Anolis sagrei: one gene and its partner. The protein of the gene in region 2 binds, or shares a complex with, the protein of the main gene of each other region. Links are inferred from orthologs where the notes say so. Each region holds a gene or a part of one and is shown on either strand. Other genes may lie near its edges.

Region 1 (10,254 bases), on a different chromosome or scaffold from region 2:
TGATTGTGTTTTATTGTTAAAAAAGGTTTTGTGATTATTCAATAATAAATGCACTGAGCTTTTAACATAACAGGATAAGTATGAAACCTTTTTAAAGAATATAATACAACAATCAATAAGCACGTGAAGGCCTCTTTCTTCTTTTACCTAATACATGCTTTCCAGTACCTGACTGTGATCTCAATGTTAAGAAGTCTACTGTCCTTAATTGTGAAAAATAGCTATAAGGAGTGAATTCATTGTAAACTCTGAAGTAATTTCTTTATTCCTAACAATTTTGTGAATTTAAAGAAGAATGTTGCTTTTAAATGAGGTTTTAAATGTCACTATGCTTATCTCGATGTTCTTTTTAATGCTAGGTTTATTCCTTTAAAAGGCAAATTAATTACTGCACAGCAATAGGTTACATCTGGCTCTTCTGAAATTATTAATCTTGCTTTGACACTAATAAGTCAGGTCATAAGCAAAGAAGTAGAAAAAATAGCACATACACCATTCAGGATAACTATTTTCTGGGAAAATTCCTTTAGGGCGTAAGTGTCAGCCTGCTGCTGAAAAAAAAAGCCTTCTGACAATAAAGCCTATTTCATCAGCTCTGAAGAAGTAGGGTTTAGTCCTTGAAACTATGATGTATCATTGTTTTGAAGTAATTTAGTTATATAACCTTAAGTATATTGGTGATCCCCACTACTCTTTAATTATGGGAAAGTGCTATTGTGTATACCGAGCATTATTTAAAATCAGAAGTACTGAACAATCATTACTAAGGCCTGTAACTGCAATGTGAACACTCACAAAAATCAATGAGATATAGTTTCAAGTCTGACTTGAAACTCAAATCTGATAAGTCACAAGATCTCCATCTCCCAAAGAGACCTTGAAAACGTTTGTAAGACTAAACTATCCAGAACCAGGCCTTCTCATGTATTAAATAAGTGACATATTACATTCATTTAACAATCTGAAGGATCTAGTTTTTGAATAATTGATAAACACAGAACTCGACGAACTATATATAGCACCACAAAACAAATGTCAAGGAAAAGCAGTAGTACGAGTAGTACAATTTGTTATTCTAGCATTACAAACATCTACCATTTCAGAATATAAAAAATAGAAATCCTTCCGTGCTCAAACAAACATTCTATATTAGGTATCTAGACATTTTAAGGAGGGGGGCATTTTTGACATTTCATAGAAACAGGCATAGCCTCATGTCTGTGAGTAAGTCTTAAGAAAACAGCATTTTCATATAACACTTGAATAGCTGATGGGTAAATACAAAGGAGTATATTACACAAGAATGTAATGGTTGTAGGTTCTCCAATCTAAATGTATCTGCTTAACAAATATTTACAGAAACACTACAAATATCATGGATCTAAAAACAACACATCAAAGAACCTTTTGATGAACCCATAAGTGCAGGCATTCAGACACACCCTGAAAAACCACCCCATGGATCGATCTATAGCAATGAGGCACTAGAATAGTAAACTCTGCTTCTTGAATGTTAAATGCAAACACACAATATATTAATGAACTAGAGACAATGATTTTGTTTTAAGCAGTACACAGTTGCTAATTATGATTTCTACCAGAATCAAGACAAAAATAAGACACTTCCATCTATACCTCTGATCATGCTTATCAAGGTAATAATATCACCTCAAACAACAAAGTACTGTTTTATTTGAAATGTTACTATACTTAACTGACTTGTCACACTACCCATTGTTAACTCTAAAACAAACTTCTTCTTCTATAAAGCAAAACTTCAACAATTCTGTTAACAGGCTGGTAACATTTTATGAACACCGACAATCTTGTCATCTTACAATCTTGTCACCTTCAGTAACAACTGTGATGTGGCAAATAGAATAACTAAAAGGTTATGCTTCTGAAGTCTGAATTCTACTTAGGTTTGTGAACTAAATCCAACTCTTGGTTCCAAGCAGAACAGATTTACTGGAACAACATTATTTTAATAGTTATATTCAAGTTTCCTCTTCCTGAACTTTAAATAATTTAGTTTGATGAATTTCAAATCATGTTTACATTATTATGCTTTATTTAGTTATAAAAACCCATTTCCATAGCCACGGGGATCTACTAGAAGCCATGAGAATTTTACTACTAGTGCTTTGGAGTGTCCATTATTTTATCAGAATTTTATAATATGACAATCTAGAACATTCCTGTGTAGTATTAAAACAGTTGGATTCAAAAATGTATAAGCCACTTTGCATTAGTACTCTAGAAACGTATCAGTTTAAAACATCAGCAGCTGGTTTATAAACAATATAAACTTTCTCTTACATTATACGTTATCTTGGAATGAATGCTTCAACAAGCAAATCCTGCATAACATTTTGCATGTGAATTTATTTAGGAATACATTTTCATTAACTGTGTAGGCTTCAGATTTAGAAAACCTAACTAAGGCTTAAAATGAACAACATATATTCTTAATACAGCAGTATTATTCTTCGAGCAATTTCACAAGAATTAAAGAAGTATCTTGTATTGATCATCACATACTATTTTTGCAGAGCACTCAAGTGTCATTTCCCCCTTAAGTTTACAGTGGGATGCTACGAAATAAAACAGGCCAATTAAATAGAAAGGAAACCAACACTGTCCAAAAGATCTTGGGAATTACTTTCACTCTTATGATTTCCTATGATGATGCAATGATTTGGGGGGGGGGGGATGACTGAAAAAGTGTACAAGCCTAAGAATTCATAATACATATGGAAATATCCTAGCAGTTCAGAAGAGTGCAGTGAAATTAACTCAAACTGGGCCTCTTCCTGGACAATGCAGTATTGCAAAAGCAAAGCAAATAGGCTTTCATTTTTCTTTGGTGTTGGCTGTATAAAAGGCCATGTTGAAAAAAAACAGAGGGAAAGAAAGAAAGAAAGAAAGAAAGAAAGAAAGAAAGAAAAGGTTACTAATATTTCCGGTTTGGAGTAATCACCTCACCACCTCCCTTCCTCCTTCAATCCTGACATGTTTTGAGATGTGAGCTCCTTCAGCCAAGAAAGTTTATTTAAAAATGGAGGCACTCACAAAGACAACAACGCTGAGAAGGAGGCACTGGGTGTTCCACGCCACCAAAAGGGACGTCTACACTGTAGAAGATGTTTTGGCCTTCAACTCCCAGGAATCCTAACAGCTGGTAAACTGGCTGGGATTTCTGGGAGTAGTAGCCCAATACACCTAGAGACCCACAGGTCGAGAACTGCTGCTGTAGAAGGAAAACAGCCTGGCATTTTTAAATGCTACTTATAATAATTTATATTTATAATAATAATAACAACAACTTTATCGAAGGCTTTCATGGCTGGAATCACTGGGTTGTTGTAGGTTTTTTCATGCTGTATGGCCATGTTCTAGAGGCATTCTCTCCTGACGTTTTGCCTGCATCTTTGGCAAGCATCCTTAGAGATGGGAGTCCCCGGTGGCGCAGTGGATTAAACTCCTGTGCCGGCAGGACTGAAGACTGACAGGTTGCAGGTTTGAATCCAGGGAGAGGTGGATGAGCTCCCTCTATCAGCTCCAGCTCCTCATACGGGTACATGAGAGAAGCCTTCCACAAGGATGATAAAAACTTCAAATCATCCGGGCGTCCCCTGGGCAACGTCCTTGCAGACAGCCAATTTTCTCACACCAGAAGCAACTTGCAGTTTCTCAAGTTGCTCCTGACACAACAACAAAAAATATCCTCAGAGATTGTGAGGTCTACATAGATGTAGCGAAACGTCAGGAGAGAATGCCTCTAGAACATGGACATATAGCCCGAAAAAACCTACAACAACAACCCAATAACAACTTTATTTTTGTACCACACCTCCATCTCTCCAAAGGGATTCAGGGTGGCTTACATATGGCACAAAGTGCCTAAAACAACACATAAAACAAACACACAATACATTACAAGATAAACCAGTAGTATATAAAACAACAATTTGACGCCCAATAACCTATAGTGTCGACTGTCCTAAAAACATGGTCAACTGTAAACAAGAAGAAGAGAAAGAGATAATGCAAGTTGTAGCTAAGAAGCAAGGGCATAAGATGAAAGTGGAGTACGTTTTACTAATGGCTTCTTATGTTTTTTTATTTGTGTCTTTGATGGTTGACGATTTTGCGTTGTATTTTAACATGTTGGAAGCCACTTGGTGGGAGAAAAGTGGGAAATAAATGAAGATTTATTATGATTATGAATCCCCTCAGTTCCAGTTAGGATGTGGAGAAGGTTAAAGGAAGACCCACAGGCCTGGGCCAACTTGGGCCCTCCAGGCGTTTTGGACTTCAACTCCCACAATTCCTAACAGCCTACCGGCTGTTAGGAATTGTGGGAGTTGAAGTCCAAAACGCCTGGAGGGCCCAAGTTGGCCCAGGCCTGGTCTCTAGCGTTCATTTTCCAAACGGCGTTATCTGGCAGCGTCGGCGGCGAGACAAGGTTACCTAATGGAAGGGGAGAGGGAGGAGGGGTGACGACACCGAACGCGCGTCAAGTTCCCGTGAGGACACACCCTGTGCTTTCCCTCAGACAAGGGGCCTCCTCCGCCGCCGCCGCCGCTACTGTCCTCGAAAGGAGGAAGAGGCGCTCCCTTTCCTTCCGAGGCCAGACTAGGCCTCGACGAGCCCTCAGAGCGAACGCCACCCACAAGGCCCGAAGCCAGGACGGTACCTTCGCTGGTGGCGAGGAGACGTCCAAAGGCGCCCTCTCCCTTCTGCCTTCTCTTCCTCCTCCTCCTCGTCTCCTCGTCGTCGTCGTCGTCTGCGGGCCTTCTCGCGACGCCTCGGCCGCCCTCCTCCTCCTCCTCCTCCTCTTCTCCTGCCGGGCTGCTGGTGTTTGCTGCCTGCCTGCTTGCCTAGCCCCTCCCTCCCCCGCCCCGCGCGCCTCCGCTCTTCCCTTCCCTTCCCTTCCCGGCGGCGGATACCAGCGGATGAGACAGCGGACGACGAGAGGCGGCTAAGCAAGAGGGAGCCCGCCAGCGCATTCCGCGCGCTCTCTGCCGCCCCCTGCGGCCGGGAGGGAGAAGTGCCGCCAGCGTTTCCCACGCTGAACTGCATTCCATGGTCATTCGAGACCAGGCGTGGTGTTTCAGATCTGAAGGTGTTTGAGATCTAGGAGGGAGGTGCTAGGCCTGTAGCTGGAGGGGAGGGGGGGTGTTGGTGTGTTAGGGGTTCACCCCCCCCCCCAATTTTTCAGGTTAAAAAAAAATGGTTTACTCATGAATTTTAACTGGTTAACCCAATCCCCATGCTAAGTCTATTAGACACAAAAAATTAAGACTCCCTCCAGAACTGTCAGCACTATTATTATTAATATTATTATTAACTTTATTTGTACCCCGCTAGCATCTCCCGAAGGACTCGATGCGGCTTACAAAGGCCAAGGCCTCAAAACACAACACAACAATATAACACCAAAAGCAAAATTAGAAACAGTAAAGCAATATTGACGACATGCAATAAACAGTACATCAAGACACAATACAAACTGGGCCGGGCCAGAGTAATGGGTACAGGATTAAAAGTGCTGATGTGGCAGGTGGTATACGAGGATTATAGGGCAAGTGCAGTGTGTGGTGTGCAATAATCTTAGTTCTACTAAAAGTGCTTTGAGGACTTGTTATTGGAGATTCCTATTCTGGAAAGGCACATCGGAACAGCCAGGTCTTCAAGTTCTTTCTAAAGACTGCCAATGTAGGGGCCTGTCTAAGATCTTTTGGGAGGGTGTTCCAGAGTTGGGGGGGCCACCACAGACAAGGCCCTGTCTCGTGTCCCCACCAGCCACGCTTGTGACGCAGGCGGAATCACGAGCAGGGCCTCACCAGATGACCGAAGTGAACGTGTGGGTTCGTAGATGGAGATGCGGTCATGCAGATAGGATGGTCCCAAACCATTCAGGGCTTTGTAGGTAAGCACCTGCACCTTGAATTGGGCTCGGAAAATAAATGGCAGCCAGTGGAGCTCCTTGAACAGGAGGGTTGACCTCTCTCTGTAAGGACATAATTGACAATTTATTCCCACTGTCATTGTGCTGGTACAGCTATACCAGAAGCTCCAATTTTGTTTGCTTTGCATTGAATGTTTGTTGCAGTCCTAAGTTTCAGGGACTCTGCAGATAGGTGGCTTCTTTTGGCTGCAATCATAGGGCAAGCCACCTGTCAATTATCGTTAGGTTCCCTGGTCCCGCCCCCTTTGGGTTTTTGGAGGGAATAGGAGCATTTTTGAGTCAGTCCACACAGAGAAGCCTTTCACACAGGACATAAAACGAAAAGCTCCTGTAGAAAGCTTCGTCTTCTACGGCTTGGCCGGGGAGATACAGCCCACAGCTTGGCTGAGGATTTTGCAGCCTTACAGCTCCTTTGCTGAGAGACTTCAGCCAGCCGTCACCGAAACCTGAACTCCTTTCCCCTGGAAGTCTACAAAGCTCTGCTTGGTAAGGGTCACTCACGGAAGCCAGACGCAGTTGGTACCGGGTGCAGGGGCTCCACGCCAACAGAGGCAAAGACAGACTGCCCAGATTAGAAGTTAAGGATTTCCCCATTAGTTAATTACAGTTAAGAAGATAGTGCCTGTTCCCAGTGAACAAGATTGCAAGAGCCAATAGACTGTTAAGAAAGCTTGAAAGTACCTGTTTGTTTTCATCAATAAAGAACTTTGTTGGATTTACTTTAAGCAATCTAAAGACTCTGTTTGGGGGAATCTAAGGGCTTTTAATCTGTGGCAGCCCCCGCATCCCGTTGGGCACACAGAATTTATGTCCTGTCTACAGTCTAATGCACAGGCCCAGCGTGTGACAGCACAGTCATTACTTGCAGTGATAGCCGATGTAGCAAAGCAACCAAGTTTGGGGGGGGGGGGGTGTTGAATGCTCTCATTAAGGAGGCCAGACTTGGTGGAGGTGGTGGACAGGGGCGGAGCTGCAGGCTATTAAAGGCTGCTCTGTCCCCTGCTGTGCTTTTTGCTTCAGCGTGAGCTAGGAGGCAGGTTTCAACCCCCCACACACACCAAAATTTAACCCCCCCTGAAATTTTCAACCCCCCCCCCCCAATTTTCAAACCCCTCCCCATTTTTTTCTGGCTACGGCCTTGGGAGGTGCTGTGGTTTTGTGTGCTTTTATGGTTTTAACGTGAATTGTTTTAAAAAACGGATGATGTTTAATACCGTCTTAATATTTGTATATGTGTATATATTAAATTGCATTGTAATGCAATAGATAATCTATCTATATAAATAAAAATGTAATGTTTGTTTGTGGGATTAACATAACTCAAAAACCACAGGACGAATTGACACCAAATTTGGACAACGTACACCTAACAACCCAATGTATGTCCTTCACTCAAAAAACTGATTTCGTCATTTGGGAGTTGTAGTTGCTGGGATTTATAGTTCACCTATAAATCCCAAAGAGCATTCTGAACCCCACCAACGATGGAATTGAGCCAAACTTGGCACACAGTTCTCCCATGACCAACAGAAAATACTGGAAGGGTTTGGTGGGCATTGACCTTGAGTTTTGGAGTTGTAGTTCACCTACATCCAGAAAGCACCGTGGACTCAAACAATGATGGATCTGGACCACGTTTGGCATGAATATTCCATATGCCCAAATACGAACACAGATGGAGTTTGGGGAAAATAGACCTTGACATTTGGGAGTTATAGTTACTGGGATTTATAAATCACCTATAATCAAAGAGCATTCTGAACCCCACCACTGACAGAATTGGGGCAAATTTCCCACACAGAATCCCCATACTTAAGGCCATCCAGTCCAACTCCCTTCACCAGGACAAGAAAACGTAATCAAAGCCCTCCTGACAAAGAACCATCCAGCCATAGGTATAGTTAGATATATACGATTCACACACACACGTAGTATCATAGATTTGAAAGGGACCCCTAAAGAAGGACAATTATATGTTGCCTGTTCCAGAGTAGGCTGGCAGTCTTTGCTTCTTCCAGCATGCTGACATTTGTCTGCCTGTCTTCCCAAGAGATTTCCAGAATTTTTCGGAGGCAACGCTGATGGAATCATTCTAGAAGTTGCATGTGACGTCTTCCACTGTTCCACCAGGGGCTCCATTTAGCTGGATTTACACTTATTTCTCATGCCAATAAGGTAGTGGTTCCCAACCTTTTTTTGACCAGGGACCACTTTGAAAAGGGAACACTCTCCAACATTAGTACCAAAAGGGCTACAAAACAGTTTTTGGTCAACTTTAGATTCGTTTTGGGATTCTGATTCAGATGATTTTCGTCCTCGTTGCCCACTGGTGGTCCACGGCCCACAGGTTAAGAACCACTGCAGTAAGGCAGGCATGTAGCCGGGGGGGGGGGGGGGGCTTGAGGGGCTTCATGGTGGTTTGCAAAAAGGTGGTGCATTATTTAAACTGCTATGTTTATTCATATCATGATCTGATCACTATACTCAATATATCCCATATGCATGGGGGTATTGGGGTAACGATACTAAAGGTTTGCTAAAGTAGACCCTCTTTCACTCAGACTCAGCCCCCCCCCCCGAAACAAACTCAGCCCCCCCCCCCCCCGAATTGAAGTCCTGGCTACAGGCCTGCAGTAAGGTAATGCTCAAGATCCTGCAAGGTAGACTCAAGATCCTGCAAGGTAGACTCTCCAATGCATGGAGAGAGAAAGTTGCCAGATGTAAAAACTAGATTTAGAAAAGGCAGAGGAACGAGAGACCAAATGGCAAATATCCGCTGGATAATGGAGAAAGGCAGGGAGTTTCAGAGAAGCATCTATTGCTGTTTTATTTACTATTGTAAATCCTTGGACCGTGTGGATCATAATAAGTTCTTGGTGGTATGAGAATACCAAGCTACCCTGTCTGTCTCCTGAGGAATCTGTATAACGATCAAGTAGCAACATTAAGAACATACCACAGAACAACAGACTTGTTCAAGATTGGGAAAGGAGTATGGCAGGGCCATATTCCAGGAAATAATACCCAACTGCTCACTGGAGGGAAGGATTTTAGAGGTAAAAATGAAGTACGTTGGTCACAAAATAAGACAGGAAAGGTTGGAGAAGATAAGGATGCTGGAGGAAATGGAAGGAAAGGGGAAGAGGGGCCGAACAAGGGCAAGATGAATGGATGGTATCTTGGAAGTGGCTGGCTTGATCTTGAAGGAGCTGGGGGTGGCGATGGCTGACAGGGAGCTCTGGCATGGGCTGGTCCGTGAGGTCAAGAAGAGTCGGAAGCAACAACAAAAACACACTTAAGAAATGTACCTGTTCCAACTTACATACAAATTCAACTTCAGAGCAAACCTATAGAACCTATCTTGTTTGTAACTTGGGGACTGCCCGTATATGGTCATTATAGACCCATATAATTCAGTTCAAATCTCATAGGGGTCTACACTGGCCATATCATACTGTTCAAACTGCATTCTATGGCAGTGTAGATCCAGCCTAAGGGTGCCTCTACTATAGAACGAATGCAGTTTGACATACCTGAACTGCCACAGCTCAGTGCTATGGAAACATGGGAGTTTAGTTTTGCAAAGATCTTGAGCCTTCTCTGTCAAAGAGTGTTGGCCATTAGCATTAAGTCACAGCCGTTGAAGTGGTGTCGAACTGCGTTCAATCTACAGTGTAGATGTACCCTTAGAGGGATCCGCGAATTGCACCAGATAACACCACGGGTGCACCTCTACATTGTAGAATGAGAATGTGGATTGCGATCTTTTACGTGCTAATCTGGAAATAAACACCATTGAATTCAATGGTTCCTATCATTCCAAGTAGACTGATTTGAAGTAGATTGCAGTTTTCACTGAAATAAAACGTTACGTAAAAATGCTTCATTTTGTTTGGATCATGCCCATTGTTTTTACCGATCCCTTTACAAGAAGAAAAGGTAGTTGGATAATTCACTTTCCAAAACAGACTGATAACAACGTTTTCACCTCTGTGAGGGCGTTCCTCTGCAGGTGTGTTTCACTCTCCTGGGACTCAGGCTGTTGTTTTCAATCTTTCTCCACTGTATTTGTGAGAGGGAGGCCAACGCTTTCAAAGGCAACATTGCAAGGGTGTGTATGCATGATTTAAAACACTATTAGGTTGTCATTATGGTAAAACGTTCAAGTTTAAACAAATACTGTATCTGGAGTTGAATGGGAAGTATATAGTAAAGTCAAGAAGAAACTATGATTAATTTATTTTCAAACGGTAACTTTCAAACTTAAAGCTAGGTTTTCT
Region 2 (10,520 bases):
TTCAGAGTCTGCCATCCCATCTGCCTGGCAGATGTGTATCCAGCCAAGAGCCCTTGGCTTAAAAAGAGACTTTATGTGGCTTCGGATTCACAGAGCGACGCTTCCCTGGCTACTCCAGAGTTCTTCCAAATGTTCGACCTAAAAACCAAGACGGTCGACTACACTATGTCAACGTGTGTAGGAAGGAAGAAGTTGCAGGGTAGCTTCCGGTTTTGTTGTTTCCTCTTGCTACCAAAAGGGACAGTTCAAGTTGCCAGACCTCATTGAGTGTTCATCCCTTGGAACAAAAAGCAGATTGTTACCTGAGAAGTTGTGGAGGCCCATCCTCATCTACGAAGGCTGAAGAATGCCATATCAGCTTTTCTGCCAGATGTGGACATTGCCTTTTTGCTTAGTTCGGACTGCCCGAGCTTGTTCTGCGTGAACGACCAAGTTAAGGGACCTCCAGGTGCACCTATTGCACAACTACTGCCGTTGGGCTGGACAGTTATAGGCCCAGTGTGCATAAACAAGATGCACCCTCCATCATCGTTGGACTCCAAGCACACATGCTTAATGGTGGACGTCCCACACTTATGCACAGCTGTCTGAGCCACATCTCAGTCTGCTGCCAAGGAATAGCTCCAGAGCATTCCTCCATCTTTGAGGCTTCTGAGAGAGACAAAGCCCCGGCACTCTCAAAAGATGAACAAAGGTTTTTGGATATTATGGACTCTGAAGTCTCTCGAAGTCCAGAGGGAAATTGGATAGCCCCTCTGCCTTTTAAGTCAAATAGGCCCACTTTGCCAAACAACAGGCACGTGGCAGAGAAAAGACTCTGGTCCCTAAAGAAAAAGAGTGTGATGGTAGCTGAAGTAACAGTCCCAGCCTGGTTACATCATTTTATAATTGGAAAGAAAGGACAGAACATTGGCAGGATTACCCAACAGCTTCCCAAGGTTCACATTGAATTCACTGATGGTGATGAGAAGATCGCATTAGAAGGAGCCACCGAAGAAGTGGAGTTGGCTCAGGCTCAGATACAAGAGAACATCCGGTACTTGCTTAGTCACATGGATTACACTGAAGTGCTCATCGATCAGAGGTTCCACCATCATCTGATAGGGAAAAATGGAGCCAACATCAACCACATCAAGGATCAGCACGAAGTCTCTGTCCGCATCCCACCCATCAACGAGAAGAACAACCTGATCCAGATTGAGGGAGACCCACAAGGGGTCCAGCTGGCTCGCAAGGAGCTGCTGGGAATGACTGCTCACATGGAAAATGAACACATAAAAGACCTGATCATTGGGCAGAAAGGCGAGAAAGTCAAAGAGATCTGTGACAAGTTCCCAGAGGTCATCATTAACTTCCCTGACTCATCTCAAAAGAGCAACATTGTGCAGCTGCGTGGGCCTAAAAACGAGGTGGAAAAGTGTGCCAAGTACCTCCAGAAAGTTATTGCAGAGTTGATTGAAAACAGCTTTTCCATCCCAGTCCCTATCTTCAAGTAGTTCCACAAGAACATTATTGGGAAGGGAGGCACCAACATCAAAAAGATTTGAGAGGAAACCAATACCAAGATTGACCTCCCCATAGAAAACAGCAACTCGGAGGTAATCCTGATAACTGGGAAGAAGGTCAACTGCAAAGGTGCCCAGGACCACATCCTGGCCATCCAGAGGGAGCTGGCTAACATAAAAGAAGTGAACGTCTCCATTCCAACCAAACTGCACAATTCCCTGATTGGGGCCAAGGGTCAGCTGGTGCATTCCATCATGGAGGAGTATGAGGTCAATAAATCCGTGCCGCAGCCTGAGCAGCAATCAGATATTATCGAGATCACGGGCCTGGTCTCAAACGTGGAACGGGCCAGAGCCAGTCTTCTAGGGAGGGTATTTTGAGAGTGGGAGGAAGGTTAGCTAAGGCTAAACTTAAGATATGTGTAAGAAACCCCAATATCATATCCCCCAATAGTCACATTGCATTGTTGCTTGTTCGTTATTACCATGAAAGGACAAAGTCTTGCCCCGCCATGCTTGGCCCATGGGTATCATACTAAAGACTTTTCCTTGCCCTGACGGTAAGGTCAGGAAAGTTCAATTAAAGACTTACAACAAGGACAAAATGTCTGTCCTGGACAGACCAATCAGCGATCTTGTTTTGCTTGTTGAGAGTGTTTAATGTTTATACTGTTTTATCATTGTATATATTTATGTGGTAAATTTCCAGATCCTGGGAAATTTAAGCAGGGACTGTTCAGTCTCCCAGGAGCATGGGTTTTGCATTACCTTTTAGTTGCTGGAAACAGCCTCTCCTTGTGTTTATCCCAGGCTACTGCAGGCTTTGCTAGGCCTAAAAGGTTAGCAGACAGAGGCAGGAAAGCCAGTTTGCAGGCTTTCTGCAATGACTGGCCAGAGTATCTCTTTGGGCCTGCCCCTGCTTCCAGGGTAGAAACAGCCATTTTGGAGGTCTCCCTGCCCCTTCGGTCTTAAGGAAGAATCCATGATGTGCTGTTGGCAGACAGGTACCTCTGAAGATACCATTGTAAAAACAATTGAGACCTGTAGATAGATAGATAGATAGATAGATAGATAGATAGATAGAATGAATAATTGAGTCATAGATTGAAAACAAATGAGTTTGATTGAGTTATTTAGTTAGAGATAGATATTAAAAGAGAACTATTTAGATAGTTATAGAGGATTATGTAGATAGTTATAGAGATACCCTTTTTTGGAGAAAGTTATACCCTTTTTGGAGAAGGATTGCCTCAACTATTGAACCCCAATTGACTGTTTGTTTTGTAATGTTGATAAGCTGAGCCAAGTCTACCATGATTTTGTGAATAAATACCCTGTTTGATGTTTCAAACTTGAAGTGGACTCAGTTATTCAAGAAAACTCAATCTTCTAAAGAAAGACCCCAGCAGTTCACCCAGACCTAGATAGCAGCACATCAAAGTTTTATTTTAAAGTGTCTGGACGTAACGGCACATGCACATTAGTGTAAAGACATGTGAGCGCCTGAGATCTTCCTCTGAGCTGTTTAATTGGGATTATAGTGCTTTTGGTAGTTGGTCCTCATTGTGTTTGTGCAGCCCTCCGTTTTGCCTTCTGGTGGTTCCCTGTCATTGTGGGTAAAGTAGTGTTCGCAAGGCTGTTGTCCCCCTCCCCTGGTGGACCTAGTTTAAATTGTGCCTAATGAAATTTGCGCGTCTGTGAGCAAAAAGGTGTTTTCCTACTTGTGTGAGATGTACCCCATCCCTTGCCAGTAGGCCATCCTCCTGGAAAAGCAGGCCATGGTCGAGGAAGCCAAACCGTTCCTCCTGACACCATTTTCTAAGCCAGTCATTGACCTGTACTATTTTTCTGGCCCTTGTAGGACTATGTCTTACAAATGAGAGGAGGAATGAAAAGACCACCTGTACATTAGATTGTTTTAGCTTTGTTCCAAGAGCTTGAAAATCATTTCTGATCTTTTGAAAAGTATGCCTAGCAGTATCATTGGTTCTTACATGAATCAACATGAGGGGAGGACGGTGATGGGGCTTGAGGAGCCTGGTGAGCCTCTGAGTGATATGGTGTATTTTTGCCCCCGGTAGGCAGCATATTTCTCGAGCCATCCCATCTGGTCTGGAAATGATGGAGTCGCCTACTACCAAGATCTGTTTACTTTCAGGATTGACAGGGTCCCTTTTGTGCAATGTAGTGTGTAGGTCCCCAGAAAAGTGATCCTGTTGATGTGAATTGTGTAGGTGTAAAGTGTTGTTCTCCTCTTCAACATCCCCGGTGCATTCGTCAAGGACAATCCATTGAGATTCATCCAAGAGCCTATTGTTCTCCTGTATGTGTTCCTGTTGCACCTGGTCTATGGCTGGGGATGGTACATCTGCATGATTGTGTGTGAATGTTGTGTTGTCCCAGTCAGGGCTATCCCCTGCACACTGATCAAGGATGAGTTACTGATCAGTATCTAAGCCATTCTGGTCTTCCCCAATATGCTGTGTTTCTTGGTCAAGTGTTAGTTGTGTGAGAATTTGGAATCTATTGTGTAAATGCAGCTGGGCAGAAGTATTCTGAGGAGTCTTCCGGGTCCTATGTTTCTTTCTAAGGGTGACATGCCTCCAAGCTTGAGGGTTGTCCATATCTGAGGTGATCTCCTCTTGAGCCTCCCCATAATGTTGGTGTGCTGTGGGCTGCGTGTCTAGGACAGTGTGGTGTCTAAGACGAGCTCAAGTTCCTGAATGTCCTTAAGGGTCTTAATACGGTCAAGTTGTTGGATCCTCTGTCCCATGTGAGTGATCTGTTTACACTTGGGGCAGATTTATTTATTTATTGTGTCATCAGCAACCATTGTATTACAATTCTAACAGAGCAAAACAAACACAGAGATTAAAAAGAAAAAGAAAAAAAAGAAAGGAAAAAAAACCACACAGATTTTGCAAATTTGGTATTTGGTTAAATGTCCTTTGACCAGTATCTGGCCACTTGGAGTGCCTCTGGGGTTGCCGCAAGAAGGTCCTCCATCGTGCATGTGGCAGGGCTCAGGGTGCATTGCAGCAGGTGGTCAGTGGTTTGTTCTTCTCCACACTCGCATGCCGAGGATTCCACCCTGTAGCCCCATTTCTTAAGATTGGCTCTGCATCTCGTGGTGCCAGAGCGCAACCTGTTCAGCGCCTTCCAAGTCGCCCAGTCTTCTGAGTGCCCAGGGGGGAGTCTCTCATCTGGTATCACCCATGAATTGAGGTGCTGGGTTTGGGCCTGCCACTTTTGGACTCTCGCTTGCTGGGGTGTTCCATCGAGTGTCTCTGTAGATCTAAGAAAACTATTTCTTGATTTAAGTCGTTGACGTGCTGGCTGATACCCAAACAGGGGATGAGCTGGAGATGTCTCTGCCTTGGTCCTTTCACTATTGGCTGCTACTTCCCGGCGGATGTCAGGTGGTGCAATACCGGCTAAGCAGTGTAATTTCTCCAGTGGTGTAGGGCGCAGACACCTTGTGATAATGTGATCATTAAGAGCCACATCTACTGTTTTAGTGTGGTGAGATGTGTTCCACACTGGGCATGCATACTCAGCAGCAGAGTAGCATAGCGCAAGGGCAGATGTCTTCACTGTGTCTGGTTGTGATCCCCAGGTTGTGCCAGTCAGCTTTCGTATGATGTTGTTTCTAGCGCCCACTTTTTGTTTGATGTTCAGGCAGTGCTTCTTGTAGGTCAGAGCACGGTCCAAAGTGACTCCCAGGTATTTGGGTGCGCTGCAATGCTCCAGTGGGATTCCTTCCCAGGTAATCCTCAGAGCTCGGGATGCTTGTCTGTTCTTAAGGTGAAAGGCGCATGTCTGTGTTTTAGATGGATTAGGGATCAGTTGGTTTCCCCTGTAATAGGCAGTAAGAGCACCTAGAGCTTCGGAGAGCTTCTGTTCTACCATCTCAAAGCTCCCTGCTTGAGCAGTAATGGCACGATCATCAGCATAGATGAAACTCTCTGTCCCTTCTGGCAGTGGCTGGTCATTTATGTAGATGTTGAACATGGATGGAGCAAGCACGCTCCCGAGGCAGGCCGTTCTTCTGTTTCTGCCAACCAGAGATGACTTGGGGCAGATGTAATTGAGTAATTGTTGTGTGAAAAAGCTAAACATTCCACAGCTTGTGCATGGGACAGGAAAATTTTGTTTTTGTTCCATCTGCAGGCTGCTAATGACCTCCTCTTGGTCTGTGTTTTATGTTGTTATCTGAAGCTTGCTTCCTCAACCTCTGTGGGAGCACAACCGTTAGGTTGTTAGGAATTGTGGGAGCTGGAGTCCAAAATATCAAGAAGGAACAAAAGCCCATGTTAGCCCAGGCCTGGTATAGAGGGAAAGGGTACAGCTTAAGCAGATCATGCACGCCTTCAACAAACAGTCCTTGGAGGCTTGACAAAGGAGGCTTCCGCGACGACTAGGCCAGAAAGCCTCTCTTTTCCTACGCGTCGCCAAGTTCTCCACCTCGCGCCTTCCTCTCCCCTCTGTCCCCCGCTTCCAATCCCGACCTTTCCTTTTCCCTAAGCAGAGCCAATCCAAAGTCGTGGAGGGGAAGAAAAGGTGGGGCCGACGAGTCAGAGGGGGTGGGAAGGGGAGAAGCAGGAAAGGGGGCGGGGCTCCGCGGCTGAGCCAATGGTGTCGCCCGCCTGCTTTGTCCGGGCCCCACCTTCCCAGGTCGAGCGAGTGCGCAGGCGCCGAAAGGGGAGGCGAGGAAGTAAACAAAATGGCGGCGGCGTGCTAGTTGCGGCGGCAGGAAGGCAAGGGCGAGGTGTTTTTTGGGGGAAATAAAGGGACGCCCTTTTGGGGGGCGGGGGTCTAAAGAGGGCGGGTTGTATTTATCTACCTAATTGGAAGGAGAGCGCTTGAGGGCCTGCTTGCCATTCTCCTTTGCGTGGATTTTGAGGAGAGCGGTGAGGAGAAAGTAGGCCACTCCGGCCCCTCAGCCTCGAGCGAGGCTCCCCTTGGCCGCTCTTGGACTTCGTGGCATCCTGTGTGCGTAGTGGCCTCCAAGGGCTTCCTTTCCTTGGCGAGGAGTGGTTGTTTTCATCCGGCCCCGCTTCCTGCAGGTCTGCAGATTGGCACTTGCTTAGAGGCACCTGAGAGGGTTTCAGTGAGCAGTTTGGGTCGTCTTGTTCTTATTTTTCAAAGGTATAAGAGGAGGCCTTTCACTGGACACCACTTTGGGGCAGAAGAGGAATAGATCCTGAAGCTTTTTAGATACAGTGCGTGCGTGTATGTGTGTGGGTCAATATATATGTGTGTGTATATATATGTGTGTGTGTGTATACACATATATACATACACATACACACATCCAGAGCCTTCTTATTTATAGTATCTATCTATCCCTTCACAAAACTAGATAGAGGCTGTGGGTGTGTTTGTGTTGCCCTAACTAGTGGCCCACCTTCCTGAGGGAAAATTACTTCAGTTGTGTTGGATGCAAATCCAACTCTGGTTTCCTATAGCACAGCAAAGGCCTGTTCTGTTCATTTTGCTCCCTTGGGTTGCTTTTCTCCCAGATTCAGTAGAGAAAGGATTGTGGCCTTCATCACCTTTGCTGCCCTCTGCTTCCCCTTTCAGGATCAGGTTTCCTTTCCTCTTGTGCGCCCCCTTAATACTCCCAGTTGCTCTTGGAAATCACCATGGTGTTTGGAGTGGCCTCATTCATTGTTCCCAGATCGTTGTTGGTCCTTCCTCAGTTGTTGGTGTTTCTGTGTCTCTGTTGTTTGTCCTCTGTTCAGTTATGTTCTTCCCCTAATTTCTGCTGAGTGGCACAGCCTCTTTTGGGATTTAGTCAGCTACATGTTTTCCTCTCATAGCAGACTGTTGTTTGAGAGAAACTCCTTCCCTGAGCGGTACCCTCGGATATTACTGAGTTGAGGCTGTTGTTGAGTTGAGGCATGTCGGGTGGAAATCCCTTCCTGTTGCCATTCTATCTCAAGGAAGGTCCACTCTTTGATATATTTATTTATTGTTTTGTTTAGCTTCTCCAGGTGCCAGAGCTTTTGGCATGCAAAGAAATCCCAAAGTGTAACAACTCCTTTTGCAATTGAAGGTAGGCAAGAAAAGATGGGAAGACAGGATCAGTGTTTGTGCTCTTCCTACCTCTTGATCCCTGACTGTTGAGTTTACCTGTCCAGGTAGGGAGTCCAGTGTTCTCCCTGTTGTTCTTGTCTCCCATTTTTAGTGTTACTTTACCTTTTCTTGCTTAGATTGGAGGGAAAGGGGAAGTGGGCCTTACTGCAAATCAGCCCCTTCTGCAAAATGTTGGGGTTGATGAAGATTGTTCAGAGGCCATTTCCCTGGAGCAGTATAGTGTCTTAATCTGAGAGAATCGGTTGAGTCACTTAAGCTTGAGTTTGCTCTGGCCTTCTCTCCATTTGTGGTGGGAGCTTAATGCTGGGAGATGTGAGTACTTCTTGCCTGCCTTCCTGCCTGCCTAAAAGCTTTGCCATCTGGAGCACTGGGGTGACACATCATGTGTCAGGCTGACCCCAGGCTGTTGAAGGATGCCCCTGGAAGTACTTACTACTAGGCACGGAAGGCCTCAAACTTTTGTTGCTGACCCTGTTGACATCGGCATTGACAATTCCTTTAGAGAGACTTGGTTCCAGTTACCCAACGGCTGAGAGAGAGGGCCCTTCCCAGGAGGCCATTATACCTGTGTGGCGAAATCAGCGGAAGTAGTTGGTTGCGGTCCTTCACATTGACAGAGGAAGCCACTATTCCCTCCTGGCGATGGAATCCCCATACAGGAGCTAATTTGCTGCTTTGATTTTAAATATGGCCAGCATTTGAAGGATGGCATAGGTGTCAAGCAAAGGAGGACTTCAAAAGGTGGGAAAACAGGCTTGCCTGAAGATTTGCAGCACAAAGCAACATCTGAAAGTTAAAGCTAACTCAACGGAACAGGAGGGAAAAAAACTTAATTTCCCCCCCTTTATCCATCTTACATGCACATGTACTTTAAAAGAGGCACTGTGGTATTGGAATAAGTTGCTGGATCTCTGCAGGACCTTGTTGGGCTGTCAGAAGAATTCTCAGAACCTCTTGTGAGTTGTATTTTTCATTTTTAAATTAAGCCATTTGTACAATCTTCTGGACAACTTCTTACTGACTTACCTCTGCTGAATCTGTCTCCTTCGTGTCCTATCATACCCACCCCTCCACTCAAAAGTTGGATATAAAAGGGAGGGACTTGGATACACCAGGAAACTGGATTTATAGTTTTTTGACACACATCTGTTTTACTAGTTTAGAGTTTTCCTTCAAAAAGAAGTCCAAGATGGATCTGGAGCCCCAGCAGCTAGGCATGTTTGTCGAAAGCGAATTGATGTTGGTAGGCATGGACATGTTTATCCATCGAATTGATTCCACAGAAGCGATCTATCAGCCCCGGCGGAAGAGAGCCAAGCTCATTGGCAAATATCTAATGGGGGATTTGCTGGGGGAAGGGTCTTATGGCAAAGTCAAGGAGATGCTGGACTCCGAAACCCTCTGTAGGAGAGCGGTCAAGATCCTGAAGAAGAAGAAACTGCGCCGGATCCCCAGTGGTGAAGCCAATGTTAAAAAGTAGGTATGAGGAGGAGGAGTGGCAGCCCATGCCTACAAAGATTGGTCCACGGGTTTTCCATGGCTTATTGGGTAAAGCTGCTTCCTCCCTTGTGATCATGCAGATGTGTTAGAATAAGCACCTTCCAGCTGTTTGGGCCTCCAACTTCCAGACTTCCTGGCAATTGAACAAGCTGGCAATGGGAGCTTTGGGGAGTTTGAGGCCCAAACAGCTGGAGGCTCGCAAATTGAGGAATATAGTTCTCAGCAATACCAATATGTTAGAAGGATCCCCTTTAGCTGCAGAACTCATATCTGTGGTTTCATTTTGTTGCGGAATATGTTACCCGGAAATTCATTCGAGTGCTTTAGGAGAAGGAAGAGGATGGAGAGACAGCATGTCCGATTTCCAGGCCTTTATTTCTATCTCTGCAGATAGAAATAAAGGCCTGGACAGCGAAAAAAGGGCTGTCACTCTTGAGGTCTAAATTGCTTCAGTATTTATAGCATAAAATCAACTTTTCCACACATGCGCAGAAAGTGTCTGACATTTACACAGTACAATCATTAACAGGTGTTTCCATGTATAGTTGACAAAAACATCTTTATCAGGTCTTGGCAGACACTTTGTGAAACCAAACATCTGCTTGATTATATAATGTATTCCAACCTTCACCTGTTACCCTTAGATGACTCTTATAAGTTCTATTCCTTAAATATCTAATTGAATTATAACTTTTATATGCTTATAATATAATATCTGATCAAGACAATACCCTTTAGTTAATTCAGCCTTTTCACTTCATTATAACTTATTTCTTAATATGAAAATCATGAAGGGAATCACTAGGATAATGCTTTTCTGAAATTGCCTGCTATTTACATTAAGTGGTCAGAAGATGGCGCTCTCTCACCATATGACCTTAGATGTTCTAAGTCTTGGATTGATAATATTGATCTCTTTGGTCTGCCAAATTTCCCTTGTTGATCCTCGTATCTAAGTAAACGTTAGCTAGAGCAAACACTTTGATTGACCAAGGTCCAGTGAAAATCAATACCATCTGTAGTTTTTCACAGGCTTGAAAGTTCTCCCATTAGAGAAATGCCTTTTTCCCTTTCAAAGGATAGGTAAGAACTTAAACCTTCTATTTTATTCTAAATTATTATGATTTCCATTATTGTTATTATATTTTCTCCTAACTGCTCCTACATTCCCCCCCTTTTTTTGTGATGAAGAAGACACTTCTTCGGAGTCACATCTCAAGTGTGATTATATCAACTTGACTCCTTCGGGAGATCACTTCATCTCCTCTAACTCCATGTACATAATACGTTGCAACTGTTTACCATGTTGAACATTGGCAGCAGTAACAACTTCTTCAATCATGTTTCTTATGCAAGATATTAAGCAAGGTAGTAGGAGCATGGCTAAACGTTACAAGTATCAGAATAATAAACCCT

Evidence for each region.
Region 1: the proteins of serine/threonine-protein kinase STK11-like (region 2) and CAB39 are in contact, whole or in part, in a crystal structure (PDB 2WTK), measured with the Homo sapiens proteins. The link is inferred for Anolis sagrei from reciprocal best matches to the Homo sapiens genes STK11 and CAB39. Residues at the interface, in NP_000446.1 of Homo sapiens: Gln100, Arg103, Arg104, Glu165, His168, Ser169, Gly171, Leu201, His202, Pro203, Phe204, Ala205, Ala206, Asp207, Asp208, Phe234, Arg301, Ser307, Arg310, Lys311, Lys312; in NP_001124321.1 of Homo sapiens: Gln109, Gly111, Thr112, Lys196, Leu197, Leu238, Asp239, Arg240, His241, Phe243, Met246, Ile250, Val280, Ala283, Asn284, Pro285, Glu317, Gln318.

Annotation. Positions count from the first base shown.
Region 1 is NC_090023.1:228,949,780-228,960,033, forward strand, and holds the start of CAB39 (calcium-binding protein 39), read right to left. Parts: upstream 4,909-10,254; 5' UTR 4,700-4,908; intron 1-4,699. UniProt on the Homo sapiens protein: Component of a complex that binds and activates STK11/LKB1. In the complex, required to stabilize the interaction between CAB39/MO25 (CAB39/MO25alpha or CAB39L/MO25beta) and STK11/LKB1.
Region 2 is NC_090035.1:55,403,590-55,414,109, reverse strand, and holds the start of serine/threonine-protein kinase STK11-like, read left to right. Parts: upstream 1-6,188; 5' UTR 6,189-8,793; coding exon 8,794-9,080; intron 9,081-10,520. UniProt on the Homo sapiens protein: Tumor suppressor serine/threonine-protein kinase that controls the activity of AMP-activated protein kinase (AMPK) family members, thereby playing a role in various processes such as cell metabolism, cell polarity, apoptosis and DNA damage response.